3 linked regions of the Sus scrofa genome follow. The protein of the gene in region 3 interacts with the protein of the main gene of each other region in a biochemical or structural test. Links are inferred from orthologs where the notes say so. Each region holds a gene or a part of one and is shown on either strand. Other genes may lie near its edges.

Region 1 (4,720 bases), on a different chromosome or scaffold from region 3:
CTCCTTTGTGCACGTGAGAGCAGAGGAGGGGAAGTCTGTTCAGGGGTTCTTCTCATATTCCTGTTCCTCAGCCCAAGGGAGTGCTTTAGAAATAAATACCCAGGCAGAGGTGGGTAGCTGGTGGTACTGGCAAGCACAGGCCTGGTGGCTCAAGAGACCACCTGCACACCCACCCGGTCCGTCCTCTTCCAGCCTCTCGGGCCAAGCTGACGATGCTCAACACGGTGTCCAAGATCCGTGGGCAGGTGAAGAACCCCGGCTACCCGCAGTCAGAAGGCCTGCTGGGCGAGTGCATGATCCGCCACGGGAAGGAGCTGGGTGGCGAGTCCAACTTCGGTGAGGCCGAGGGAAGGCTGGAGTGGGGAGGGCCTGAGAACATGGGGCAACAGCATCTCTGCGCAGCGGGCAGGCTGGCCCTTCCCCCATAGCTCCAAGGTCTTCTCCAGGGCTGGCTAGTCCTCTGGACGAGGGCGGTGAAGCTCCTGAGAAAGCCCCTCTGGTCCACAACAGGTGCTGCCTACAGTATCATGGCTGTGGGGAGGCCACCCTCCCACCACAGCTGGGTCAGGGCAGACCTGGGTGCCTTTGAAGAGGTGGGAAGGTAGCTTGTGAACACCCATCATCACCAGCCCCTGTGGCTCTGTGTCAGATTTCAGGGTCCCTTGTTCTCAATTCTGGCGTCCAGGTCCTTGGCATGGGGTATCTCAACCCTAGGGGCCAAGGCCTCCTGTGACAGCTTCCTCCCCCAGGTGATGCCCTGCTGGACGCCGGGGAGTCCATGAAGCGCCTGGCTGAGGTGAAGGACTCCCTGGACATAGAGGTCAAGCAGAACTTCATCGATCCCCTCCAGAACCTGTGTGACAAGGACCTGAAGGAGATCCAGGTGTGCCAGGCCCGCCTTCACTTCCACCCCCAGACAGCCCAGCCTGGGCCAGGTTTCCAGTGGGAAGGGCTGAGGGGAATCAGGCAGCCCTCCCTCCCCGAGGTCCCAGACCAGCAGTGTGACCTGCGTCCCTGACCCCTAGCACCACCTGAAGAAGCTGGAAGGCCGCCGCCTGGACTTTGATTACAAGAAGAAGCGGCAGGGCAAGATCCCCGACGAGGAGCTGCGTCAGGCCATGGAGAAGTTTGAGGAGTCCAAGGAGGTGGCTGAGACCAGCATGCACAACCTCCTGGAGACCGATGTACGTACTGGGCTGAAAGCCCCTAGAACAAGGAGCCCAGTGGTGGCGCTAGCTTCCCCCAGCTGGTGGGCAGGCTCAGCGCCTATTTAGGGCATGAAGGAAGAGGGAACAGGAAGGTAGGGACCAGCCTACTGAGGCTTTGGGGTCTCCTCAGGCCCTTTACCCTCCTTTGGCTGTATTTCAAGGGTTAGGTGGACAGGACGGGGCCAGGCTTCTGTGTCTGGAACAGTCTGGGAAGGCTCCCTGCAGGAGGCAGCCTAGAGATGGGGGTCAGAAAGAGGGCAGCTCTTCAGTCCTGGCTGGTCCCTTGCAGATCGAGCAGGTGAGCCAGCTTTCCGCCCTGGTGGACGCCCAGCTGGACTACCACCGGCAGGCCGTGCAGATCCTGGACGAGCTGGCGGACAAGCTCAAGCGAAGGTGAGCCAGTTCCCTGCTCCTGGCCTTCCCTGTGGGAGCCCCCACCCGCTCTGCTGCCCAGGAGGCCCAGTGCCCACGCCAGCCCTTCTGGAAGATGTGCCCGCTTCTGGACAGCTAAGCCTGCTGTGAGCACATTCCTTCCAGAGCAGCGGGGTTGCCTCCTTTTCAGAAAGGATCCCCAAGCTGCATGAGTAGGTGGGGGGGGGGGGGCTCAGGGGGAAGCAGGACCTCCTCTCACTTATCCTGGTCCCAGAGGAGAGGCTTGGGGAGGTCCGCTGAGGGGAGGGTTTGTCCAGGCTGGTGTCCCCTGACCCTGGCCCCTTCCTTTCCTTCCCTGTCTCCTAGAGGGGCACTTGGGCTCCTCTCTGAGGGGGATCTTGCAGTCAGGCAGTGTCGAGGACCTGAGGTGGAAGCCCTTGTGGGTAGTAGTCCCTGGCGGTAGGGGGGTGTCTGTGGGCATCAGCTTCCCAGGCACCACTGCTGAGGAGGCTTCTGGGTTCAGTAGGACCCAGCTGGTCCCAGCATTCCGCCGTGCACAGTGCTTGCCCTCACAACCTCCCATGGGCATAAACAGCTGGGAGCGCTGTTAGGACGCAGCCCTACAGCTGCAGCTGCTCACTTGCTCCCTTCCATGCAGGATGCGAGAAGCCTCTTCACGCCCCAAGCGGGAGTATAAGCCCAAGCCCCGGGAGCCCTTGGACCTGGGAGAGCCTGAGCAGTCCAATGGGGGCTTCCCCTGTGCCACGGCCCCCAAGATCACAGGTAACCAGCAGGAGGGTGCGCTCTGTCCCAGGCCCATCCAGGGCAGCCCGAGCCCACCATCCATCCAACCATGGGCTGGTTCTCTCGAGAGGGCCCTGGGATGGGCCCCAGGCCCCAGCCCTGCATTCTCATCCCGCCTCTGTGCTTTGTCTGCAAGCAGCTTCGTCATCCTTCCGGTCTTCCGACAAGCCCACCCGGACCCCCAGCAGCAGGAGCATGCGTGAGTATCTTCCCGCAGGTGCTGGCCCTGCCCTGTGTTTATGATGTGGCCTGCTAGTATGTTCCAGAAGGATCTTTCTCCTCCTCCCTGTCTCTTGTAGAAGTGGAGCTGGGCCTCCCTCTGCTCTGAGTGGCACCCTGTGCCCTTGTGGTCACTGTCATCCTGATGCTACCAGGTGACCCCAGCTCCTCCTGGGAGCGTTCTGATGACCACTCACAGAGCCCTTTTCCTTCCTCTGCTCCTCTGACAGTTCTGGGAGCCAGAGAGGAGGGAGCAGTGGCCTGGGCAGGAAGGGAGGCGGTGTCACGCTGCACACCTGCAGGGGCAGGTGACAAGCCAGACCTTCCCCCGCCCCCAGCACCCCTGGACCAGCCAAGCTGCAAGGCCCTGTACGACTTTGAGCCTGAGAATGACGGGGAGCTGGGCTTCCACGAGGGCGACATCATCACCCTGACCAACCAGATCGACGAGAACTGGTACGAGGGCATGCTCCATGGCCAGTCTGGCTTCTTCCCGCTCAGCTACGTGGAGGTGCTGGTGCCACTGCCCCAGTGACAGCGTCTCGGTGACACACTGGCCCACCTGCCCCTCCGTCCAGATCTCTGCATTCCACAGGCCCGTGGCGAGGGCAGAGCTCGCAGCCTGCAGGGTGGCCTCCTCCCCACCTGGACCAGGGGCATGGGGCCCCTGTTTACACTAGCGATAACCCCCGGTGGGGGCTCCCTTCCCCACTCCACGTGGCCATCTTGGGGGCTGGGCAGTGTTCCTCTTCCTGCTGCTCGCTGACTGCCCCCCAGCCCCGCCCAAGGGGGCTCACACTAAGGTGCTCTTAGAAACACTAACTCCTCCTGCCCCCTCCAGGGACTGGTAACGCCAGGTGGGCCCCCTTCACATACTCGCACCCACACTGTCCTCTCGCCACCCTGTGTTCCTCCATCTGGAGACCTGCCCTCAACAGGATGGAACTGAACATCTGTATGATGGCTGGTCTGGGCGGGACCCCTGGCTGAGACTCACCACCCTGCTTTTAAATTGCCCCAGGAAACTCCTCCCAGGGCCCCTGAACACCTACAGATGCCACCTACCTGGGAAGGCCTCACCCTTTCCCTCCAGGCCAGGCGCTTGGGGAGAGACGAGCCTGGGGTCCTCAGGGGCCTTCTCGGCAGCACTCAGGTGGCCATGTCTCCCTCCTGCAGGCTGCTGAGTCCCACACCCCACACTGGGCCAAGCACAACCTACCACCACCAGCACGTGCTCACACTCACACTCACACACACACACACACACACACACGGGACCACGGGAGCCCAGCCTCCACTCTGGAAGGTCAAGCACAAAGGCTTTGATAAGTGAATGTCCCCAGGACCCCTGGGGCCCTATGGGGGAGTCACGGGCATCTCTTGGTCCTGAGCCAATCACCATACCCCTTTGGACAGTGGTCCAGGCTATCTCCTCCAGACCAAGGTAGGCAGTTGCCCGGACCAGCAGGGCCCCAGCCCTGCACCCACTTCCTCTCTTGCCTAGTCCAAAAGCTGGCTAAACAGGGGACCCCGGGGCCTGATTCACATTCCCCTCCTCTGGTGACCTGGTAAAGCCCTCAAGGACACCAGGCTCTCCCTGCTCACCCCCGAGGCCCCCTGGTTGCCAGTACATGGAGGAGGCACAGACATCACGGCCTAGGGCAGACTGAAATGTAATCCTGATTTTTTTAAAAAAAGAAGTATTAAACGTCTCTTTCTACAGCCTTTTGTCTGGTTGCAGGGCAGGGTGGGCCCTCCTGAGGGGTCTCCAGCCAGAGCAGGGCCCACATGGGCACCAGCCCACAGTGAGCCCAAGAGGGATGTCCTTCGCTTGCCCAGTCACTGGCACTGGCAGTATGTGCCTGAAAGGCCCCTCCCCACAGCCACGGCTGCACAAATGGCGTCCCCGCCTGCACCTGGGAGACACAAGCTTGGGCTGTTTCTCTCCTTTATTATCTGAGCTCTTGTGGTCACACAACTCAGTCACACAGGAACAGAGCAGCACAGCCGCAGACAAAGGCCCTGAACCCATTCCCCTCACCCAGAGCTGCCGGGGACCAAGAATGACCAAAGGTCACCCAGGTCCTTGGAAGCTGGTGCCCTCAGCTCCCCTGCTT
Region 2 (4,036 bases), about 64 Mb from region 3:
CTTTAGATTCATAATGGAGCATGGACAGAATTCTTTTCATGCTAACCTCTTTAAAATCTCTGCACGTGTGAAACAGTAAAGTATACAGACAGGGCTTTGGGACTTCAGAATAATGGTGCATTTCTTACTTTTAAAAAATAAAGATCCCCAGCCTCTGGAGAGCCACAGTAATGTGATGAAAACAAGACAATATAAAACACTGGGTTCGAGATGCTACTCTCCGTGACCCTTGCACATGGCACTTCACTCTCAGTTTTTCTAAAATTGGAACTAAAAGAACTTACTTCACAGTACTACCGTGGCTATTAAATGGGATTACATAAAAAATGATACAATTTCCACCTCCACATCACATTACCTATATAAATAAGAGGTATGTATCAGAGCTATGGAATATAAAAAATAATAGATTCTACATTGAATTAAATAATGAAGGATGGAATCCTATCTTAAAAGAGAACTGTGTTGGAGTTCCCATTGTGGCTCAGAGTTATCAAATCCAACTAGTTTTCATGAGGACGTGGGTTTGATCCCTGGCCTCACTCAGTGAGTTAAAGATCCAGCATTGCCATGAGCTGTGGCGTAGGTCTCGGACGCAGCTCAGATCCTGCATTGCTGTGGCTGTAGCGTAGGCTGGCAGCTACAGCTCCAATTCAACCCCTAGCCTGGGAACCTCCAGATGCCATGGGTGTGGCCCTAAAAAAGAGACAAAAAAAAAAAAAAAAAGAGAGAGAGAGAGAGAAAACTGTTAAATGAGCAAAAGTATTACCATAGCAGGCATACACACATGCGTATAAACTCAGGCAAGTGGAAACAGCTCCATGCCACCTGGATGGCTCTGAAGGGGGACAATGATTTTTTTTTTTTTTTTTTGGTCTTTTTGTCTTTTCTAGGGCTGTTCCCATGGCATATGGAGGTTCCCAGGCTAGGGGTCGAATCAGAGCCATAGCCACCGGCCTACACCAGAGCCACAGCAACACAGGATCCGAGCCGCATCTGCGACCTACACCACAACTCACGGCAACGCCGGATCCTTTAACCCACTGAGCAAGGCCAGGGACCGAACCCGCAACCTCCTGGTTCCTAGTCGGATTCATTAACCACTGAGCCACGACGGAAACTCTGATAATGATTTTTTTTAACTTAGAGAAAGCAAATTAACAAGTCTCCAAAAGAAAAATGAGATATGTGTTTGCTTTCTGAGCAGGGAGAAGCCAGGTTACATTATGTGCCTAGTCCTTATAACCAGCAAAAGCCCCACACGAGGGCTCTGAGCAGCAGAGGTAAGCCCGAGGAGCAGAGCCAATGGTCATCACACCCTCCCTTTTTGCCTTCATGGTCTCCTGAGAGCATCTCATAAAACATTTCCTTCTGTAGAACATCCAGCACTGGGGATACAGGGAAACAGGAGAGAGCTTCCCATCCTTAACATCCATATCCAGGATAAGGCAGTTCCCACTCTTCGACCAAGCAGATTCTTAAGGATGAATATACCTCAAGCACAGGCTTTTATCTGTTCTGTATGCAGGGGGTAGAAAGCAGTGGGACCAAGTAAAAGAATAATACAATCAGTTATACATCTACATCTCTGAAAGAAAATAATTTTCAGCTTTTAATGCACCTACCTGTTACCATAGCACAATGAACTGGTGGAGGGTGGGGAGGGGAAGAAAATCCAGCAGATAGTGGGATTCAAAATATATTCATCTGCAAATATATTCACCCTCATGTTCGTGGGCCTCAAGAAACCCAACGCAGCAGGTTTCTGGAGCTGCCATCTGTGGGGTATGTGTGAGTGTACAAGGGCATGCACTGCCTTGGGGCACTCACCCCCACGCATGCTGGAATCACAGAAAGGGACAGACAGGAAAGAAGATGACATCCCTACAACTCAACTGACATATTACAGTGATTTAAAGACCACAAAAGAGGGTCAGTATCAAATGTGTTAAAGCAGGTAAGTGTGCGCCGATGGAGACTGAGGGTAAAAGGGACGTACAATGAAGGCTTTACAGAGGAGAGAGAGAGTAAAGGAGGGAAAGAGAATGAATGAGACAAGAAGGAACTCCTTTAAGAGAGTTTCTACCTGACAAAACCATCCTGTAAGAAATATATTCCTGCATAATTCTTATGTAGCCAGATGGGATTGCTCCTAGAATTTCTGGAAGAGTGTTCATGGGGCGTGGCCAAGGCCATGTACCAGGGATCCGATACTTACCTGCAGGTTTGGGGGTGCCTGTGTGGGAGAGGCCCCCATTGGGCTGAGTGCTGTCCCCAGTTGGAAACTCCAGGCTCATTCGAGGTTTGGGCTGATACTCCCTTCGAGGCTGAGATGAAGCTTGTCTTATTCTGCATTAAAGAGAAAAGATGGGGAGTTCCTGTCGTGGCTTGTTGGAAACGAATCTGACATGAGGATGAAGGGTCAATCCCTAGCCCTACTTAGTGGGTTAAGGATCCGGCGTTGCTGTGAGCTGTGCTGTAGGTCAAGCACATGTCTCAGATCTGGCGTGGCTGTGTCTGTGACTGTGGCTGGCAGCTGTAGTTTGATTCAACCCCTAACCTGCAAACCTCCATATGCTGCAGGTGTGGCCTTTACAAAGACAGACAGACAGACAGACAGAGAAAGAAAGAAAGAAAGAAAGGAAGAAAGAAAGGAAGAAAGAAAGGAAGAAAGAAAGGAAGAAAGAAAGGAAGAAAGAAAGGAAGAAAGGAAGAAAGGAAGAAAGGAAGGAAGGAAGGAAGGAAGGAAGGAAGGAAGGAAGAAAGAAAGGAAGAAAGAAAGAAAGAAAGAAAGAAAGAAAGAAAGAAAGAAAGAAAGAAAGAAAGAAAGAAAGAAAGAAAGAAAGAAAAAGAAAAGGTAGGAGGTGGGAGGTGGGATGTGTAGTCAATTAAGAAGCAAAAAGAAAAGCAATTAAATCGAGAAAATGCTTTGACTAGCTACCAATCTACCACTGTGGAGCAGGTGAAATCTGAAAAGGACCCTCAGTTTTCTTATCTGTGTCTGTCTCCACTTGGGCGCTGGGGTCACGCTCTCTGCAGTTATACCCTCATTGCTTTCATCCTTCCTCTCAGGTTCTCCCTCATTAATTCCGAGCTCACTCTGCAAGTCTGCACTGCGCTAGGCACCAGGAACACAAAAGGTGAGTAAGACACAATTCTTACCCTCAAACAGCTTATGGTCTGGAGTGGAGACAGAACACAAACAACTGATTACCGTGAATTGTAATAAGTGCTGCCATGGAGATTTGTACCAAATGCTGCAGGAACACAGGGATGGAGCTGGCAGTGAGATGGGGAGGAGCTACCTGTCCCAGGGGAGGCTGGAGAAGGCTTAAGGACAGAGGTGAAAGATCATCAGAAGTCATTTCTAGATAAACAGTTGTTTCCAGAAGAAAGTTATTCCATGCAGAGCTTGAGAAGGTGTGGGGGGAGGAGAGGAGGAAATACTGTGTGTTCTGAGAACAGCACAGAGGGAAAGGAAAGAAGCCAAGGAAGAAGGAAGAAAGGTGGAAAGGTACAGGCAGGCAAAGTATTCTGCTCACCCCTGAGTACTTCCCACCCTTTTAGGTGGTCATTAAGCAAAGTGTAGGGCAGATCTGCAAGGGTGGGGAGAGTTTAGGGTATGGTGATTGAAGAGTAACAGTGACTCTAAACATTTTAGGGGAAAACAAGAAAAGTGGCCTCCATGCTTAACAACTGTCACAAAGACATATAAAATTTCTTTAGTACTTTGAAGGGCATGGTTTGAAGCCTTTTTAGAGGCTTTGGCATGTCACACACATATTTCCACAAGTGTGCACTGTGGGGAGGTGCACAATCAAAGCACTAGTCAAGGAAGATACCAAGAAGAGGAGGCTGGCCAGATAGAAACAGGTCAGGAAGTTGCTCCTCATACAGCATCATAAGTGGAGGCTGCCTTGCACATTTATGGCCGTATCAACAGCTGTGAGAGTCAAATCTGGCCACAGCTGAGAATAAAAGCTGGTGAGGCCAGCCTCTGAGGCATACACGTTCAGCTTAAATAAAGTAACCCATA
Region 3 (4,720 bases):
TTTTGTCTTTTTAGGGCCGCACCTGCAGCATATGGAGGTTCCCAGGCTAGGGGTCGAATGGGAGCTCCAGCTGCTGGCCATAGCCACAGCCACAGCAACTTGGGATCCAAGCCGCATCTGTGACCTCCACCACAGCTCAAGGCAACGCCAGATCCTTAACCCACTGAGCAAGGCCAGGGATCGACCCCATGTCCTCATGGATACTAGTTGGGTTCGTTAACCACTGAGCCACAATGGGAACTCCTCAGACCCTTTCTAATAGAGTATTTTACCACTCCTTCTGCTGAAGCCTCACAAGAAGCCTAGGAGGCAGGAATTGTCGTTACTAACCCATCTTCCAGATGAGAAAACTGAGGCTTAGAGAGAGGAAGGGACTTGCCCAGTGTCACCCAGCTGGGAAATGAGAAAATCAGGACTGGCCCCCAGGGCATCATGACCCCAGTCCACGCATGCCCTTAACCACCAGGGTGAGTGGCCTTTGCCCTGTCTCTCCTCCCCACCCGCCCCATTGCAGGAATGTCTACAAGGATTATCGGCAGCTGGAACTGGCCTGTGAGACACAGGAGGAAGTGGATAGCTGGAAGGCCTCCTTCCTGAGGGCTGGCGTGTACCCCGAGCGTGTTGGGGTGAGTGACAGGGGAGAGGGGGCACGCTGCTTAACATGGGGTCCCTGGGGTCCATCCTCAGGGATGCCAATCATGCCATATTCTTGAGCTGTTCTTGGGCTCAGAAATAGCTGGGGGAGTTCCTGTTGTGGCTCAGCGGATTAAGAACCTGACCCAGTGTCCGCGAGGATACTGGTTCCATCCCTGGCCTCGCTCAGTGGGTTGAGGAGCCTTGCTGCAAGCTTCAGTGTAGGTCGCAGATGCAGCTCAGATCTGGCATGGCTGTGGCTGGGGTGTAGGCCGGCAGCTGCAGCTCCAATTCGACCACTAGCCTGGGAACTTCCATAGGCTGCAGGTGTGGGCCTAAAAAAAAAGGAAAGAAAAAGAAAGAGGGATTCTCCCCCTACCTGCCCTGGGGTGGGATTGGAGTTAAGCCTTCCTTCCTCCCATCCTTCTCCAGCGCAGTTTACATACGCTTCCTCTGCCTCAGATGGCATTTTGCATCCTTTTTGTATGATGGTAGTTTCCTGCGACTGCCTTCACTTTTCTCCCCACTATCACGGGACAAGGTCTAGCGTTGCCCTTGGGCTGGGGAGCAGGGCCCTGGGTTCACTCCACCTCTCCTTGTTTTTCCTCTCTGCGTCTGCTTCGACTGTGCTCGATGGTGGTGGCGGCGGTGGGGACAATGCTGGTGTGGTGACCTCCATGGCTTTGGTGTGGGCCTCCCAGGACAAAGAGAAAGTGAGTGTGCCCGTCCCTCACCTTCTGCCAGGCATCTCCAGCCTAGAGCCAAATCTGGCCAGATCTTTCGACTTAGGAAGGGACCTTGGAGATGTCCTTGCCTGGTTTATGGACTGGGAAGAAGGCAAATTCTAGGCGCTAGAGTCACTGCCAAGATAAGGCTGATCGAGAGTCTGGGGTCCTGAGAGACTCTGGGGTGGGCAGAGCCCAGAGCTATGGGGGAGCTGGCATCTTTGTATACAGGCCAGTTGCTTCTCCTGTGCTTCAGTGTTCCAGGCTCCCTTAAAGGAGCTGGGACCCCGGGATGCCTGGAACCTGGCCTGGAGGGTCCAGACACCCTAATGCCCTCTGTTCTCAATGGCAGGCCAGTGAGACGGAGGAGAATGGCTCGGACAGCTTCATGCACTCCATGGACCCCCAGCTGGAGCGGCAGGTGGAGACCATCCGGAACCTCGTGGACTCGTACATGGCCATTGTCAACAAGACCGTCCGGGACCTCATGCCTAAGACCATCATGCACCTCATGATCAACAATGTGAGTGCATCACCACGCACGCGGGGGAAGGGGCCCTTTGGGGGACCGAGGAAGCAGGTGGCCAGGTTGGCCTGGGTGGGACAGAGTTTGGGGAGGGAGGCGCAGGTCCACACCAGAGCTGTCGAGTAGAAATATAACGTGAGCTTCGTATATTACTTTGTAGATTCACATACCCAAACGTGCTTCACTGTTTTCCAGAAGGGGCTAGGAATCTGCATCTTTTAAGAGCTCCCACACCATGTGTTGAAATACACACCCCCACAGAATCACTTCCACCTGTGGCTTAGTGAAAATACACGGCCGGAGGGAAATGAGAACCCTGTTGGAATCCTGGCTTTGCCGCAAGTTCGCTGGGTGACTTTAAGTAAACCACCTACCCTCTCTGAGCCTCTGTTTTCTTATACGTAAAATATGGATAATAGAAGAGTTGAGGATTCAATGAGTTCCCTGATGGCCTAACAGTTACAGATCTGGCGTTGTCACTGCTGTGGTGCCAGTTCGATCCCTGGCCCAGGAACTTCTGCGTACCAGAGCAAGGCCAAAAAAAGGAAAGTGCATGACAACACACCACCTGGCATGTAGGAGGTGCTCGGCATGTCATTAAATAACGAATAAATGAAACAGGCCTATGGTATTAAAAAAAACCCCAGGATCTCTCCATAAATGTTCCAGAGCCAGGGGCAGGTAACATCTGGAGATTTTAAGAACATTAACCCACCCCCTACATGCAGAAGCTTGCATTGCACCCAGTTCAGGCACACATTGACACCTGTTATTCAAGGGCTCAGGAGATTTTAAACTGTCCTCTTCCTTACTGAGGTCCAGTGGAGCATACAAGTCCTTGGAAACGGTGTAACTGCCTTCTTTTACACTGAGGAAACTGAGGCCGAAACAAGCTGTGTGGCCCGTTGTCCTGGTTGCATGATAGGCCCTGAGTTTCCGCTCAGATCTATGACCTTAAACAGTTCACTCTTCTTCTCTGGACCATCTGAGAAAAAGAGCAAGGGAAGCGAGGGAGATCTCTTGAGTTTAGGCAGTGGCTGAGCCCCATTCCCGAGCTCCAAGTCCTAGTCGGGGCCGGCGGGGCGGGCAAATTGGTACAGGCCTCAAATCCAAACCCTCTCCTCTCTTTGCCTGCCCTCAGACCAAGGAATTCATCTTCTCGGAGCTTCTGGCCAACCTCTACTCGTGCGGGGACCAGAACACACTGATGGAGGAGTCCGCCGAGCAGGCGCAGCGGCGAGACGAGATGCTGCGCATGTACCACGCACTGAAGGAGGCGCTTAGCATCATCGGCGACATCAACACGACCACTGTCAGCACGCCCATGCCCCCGCCCGTGGACGACTCCTGGCTGCAGGTGCAAAGCATACCGGCCGGACGCAGGTACCAGGGCCGGCCCCCACGGCCCCAAAGCCCCCCAGCCCGGGGCCCGCGGGAGGAGGGCCGGGACCGGGCAGTGGCGCGCCCGCGTCACCGGGGCGGCTCCCACCTGGAGCGAGGGGCGGAGCTTAGAGAGGGGCGGGGCTTTTGCGGGGCGGGGCTTGCCGTGGAGCGCTGGCTGCGGGGCGGGGTGGAGCGTCTGGGGCCGGGCTTTAACTCGGCCGAAAACCCTAGGGCGCATCGGGGCGGGGCTTGTGCGCATGGGCGTGGCCGGCACCGGGCTGGGGGCGGGCCCTCTGGGTGGGCAGAGAGGCTCAATCTCTCTCTCCCCTCCTTGTCCTTTGCTCCCCGTCGCCCGCAGGTCACCCACGTCCAGCCCCACGCCGCAGCGCCGAGCCCCCGCCGTGCCCCAGCCCGGCCCGGGTCGCGGGGCCCTGCTCCTGGGCCTCCGCCTGCTGGGTCCGCCCTCGGGGGGGCACCCCCCGTGCCCTCCAGGCCGGGGGCTTCCCCTGACCCCTTCGGTCCTCCCCCCCAGGTGCCCTCGCGCCCCAACCGCGCCCCGCCCGGGGTCCCCAGGTGAGTAGGGCTGAAAGCGGCGGCAAAGACCGCCGGGCGGGCGTGGCCGGGAGGGAGGTGGGGCCGGATTCTGGAGCTCCGGCGCTGGTCGCCAGACCTGGCCCTCTCCATCCAAGTCACTCGGACTGTGGGTGCCAGAGCCACGAGGAAGTGTGGCAGAGGGCTGGCGGAGCCTGCTCCCCAGGGAGTGCTGAGTCCCGCAGGTGGTCGTTTCTGGGGAGGGGGCCGTGGGGCTCCTCCCACCTGCCCCCGTCTCTCCAGCACTTGCATGGCGCTTCCATCCTTTTTCACTGTCTCCCACACATTGCATCCCTTCCCCTTTCCCTTCCTAGCTGCTCTCCGCCGTTCTCCATTCCATCTATCCTATTCTGTCCTCTACTTCTCTCTCCCAGCCCCCAGTGAGCCCTCAGGTCTGAGGATCTGACTGCCATCCTCTCCGGATTTATAGACTTACACTCAGGGCTACCCGGATGCCCCCACTTCCCAGTCCTGACTCTTTGGACCTGTGCCAGGGGGATGTCTGGCCTCTGGCCCACAGGAACAGAGGCCAGGCTGTGACTGTGTGACCAGTACGGTGTGTGATGTGTGTGTGGGCGTGCACATGGGTGTGAGAGTGTACGAATGGCACCCAGACATGGGATAGGACATGGAACAGCTAGGGCAAGGGTCCGGGAGCCACGGGGCAGCCAGATGGCTTTCTCCCTTCCCCCTGCCCCTGGCCTGGACCAACGTGGTGCGGGGGCGGGGGGAGGCAGGAGCCGATGAAGGCTGCCCCATTCCCAGAGATTTTCCAGAGAAAAGGATTCTACGTCATCCCTTGGCCTTGCCTTCTTGATTCATGAGCCTCTTTCAAGGAAGCCCACTCTGATGGCTCACTCAG

What was found.
Region 1: the proteins of DNM1 (region 3) and SH3GL1 form a complex in vitro, tested with the Homo sapiens proteins (2 studies listed by BioGRID and IntAct, with this or other methods). The link is inferred for Sus scrofa from reciprocal best matches to the Homo sapiens genes DNM1 and SH3GL1.
Region 2: the proteins of DNM1 (region 3) and SH3GL2 form a complex in vitro, tested with the Homo sapiens proteins (2 studies listed by BioGRID and IntAct, with this or other methods). The link is inferred for Sus scrofa from reciprocal best matches to the Homo sapiens genes DNM1 and SH3GL2.

Annotation. Positions count from the first base shown.
Region 1 is NC_010444.4:74,441,126-74,445,845, forward strand, and holds the end of SH3GL1 (endophilin-A2), read left to right. Parts: intron 1-192; coding exon 193-336; intron 337-749; coding exon 750-883; intron 884-1,025; coding exon 1,026-1,184; intron 1,185-1,497; coding exon 1,498-1,601; intron 1,602-2,238; coding exon 2,239-2,363; intron 2,364-2,520; coding exon 2,521-2,583; intron 2,584-2,941; coding exon 2,942-3,138; 3' UTR 3,139-4,325; downstream 4,326-4,720. UniProt on the Homo sapiens protein: Implicated in endocytosis. May recruit other proteins to membranes with high curvature.
Region 2 is NC_010443.5:205,083,156-205,087,191, forward strand, and holds part of SH3GL2 (endophilin-A1), read right to left. Parts: intron 2,350-4,036; coding exon 2,219-2,349; intron 1-2,218. UniProt on the Homo sapiens protein: Implicated in synaptic vesicle endocytosis. May recruit other proteins to membranes with high curvature. Required for BDNF-dependent dendrite outgrowth.
Region 3 is NC_010443.5:268,693,881-268,698,600, forward strand, and holds part of DNM1 (dynamin-1), read left to right. Parts: intron 1-514; coding exon 515-626; intron 627-1,334; coding exon 1,335-1,346; intron 1,347-1,710; coding exon 1,711-1,881; intron 1,882-3,025; coding exon 3,026-3,267; intron 3,268-3,625; coding exon 3,626-3,840; intron 3,841-4,720. UniProt on the Homo sapiens protein: Catalyzes the hydrolysis of GTP and utilizes this energy to mediate vesicle scission and participates in many forms of endocytosis, such as clathrin-mediated endocytosis or synaptic vesicle endocytosis as well as rapid endocytosis (RE).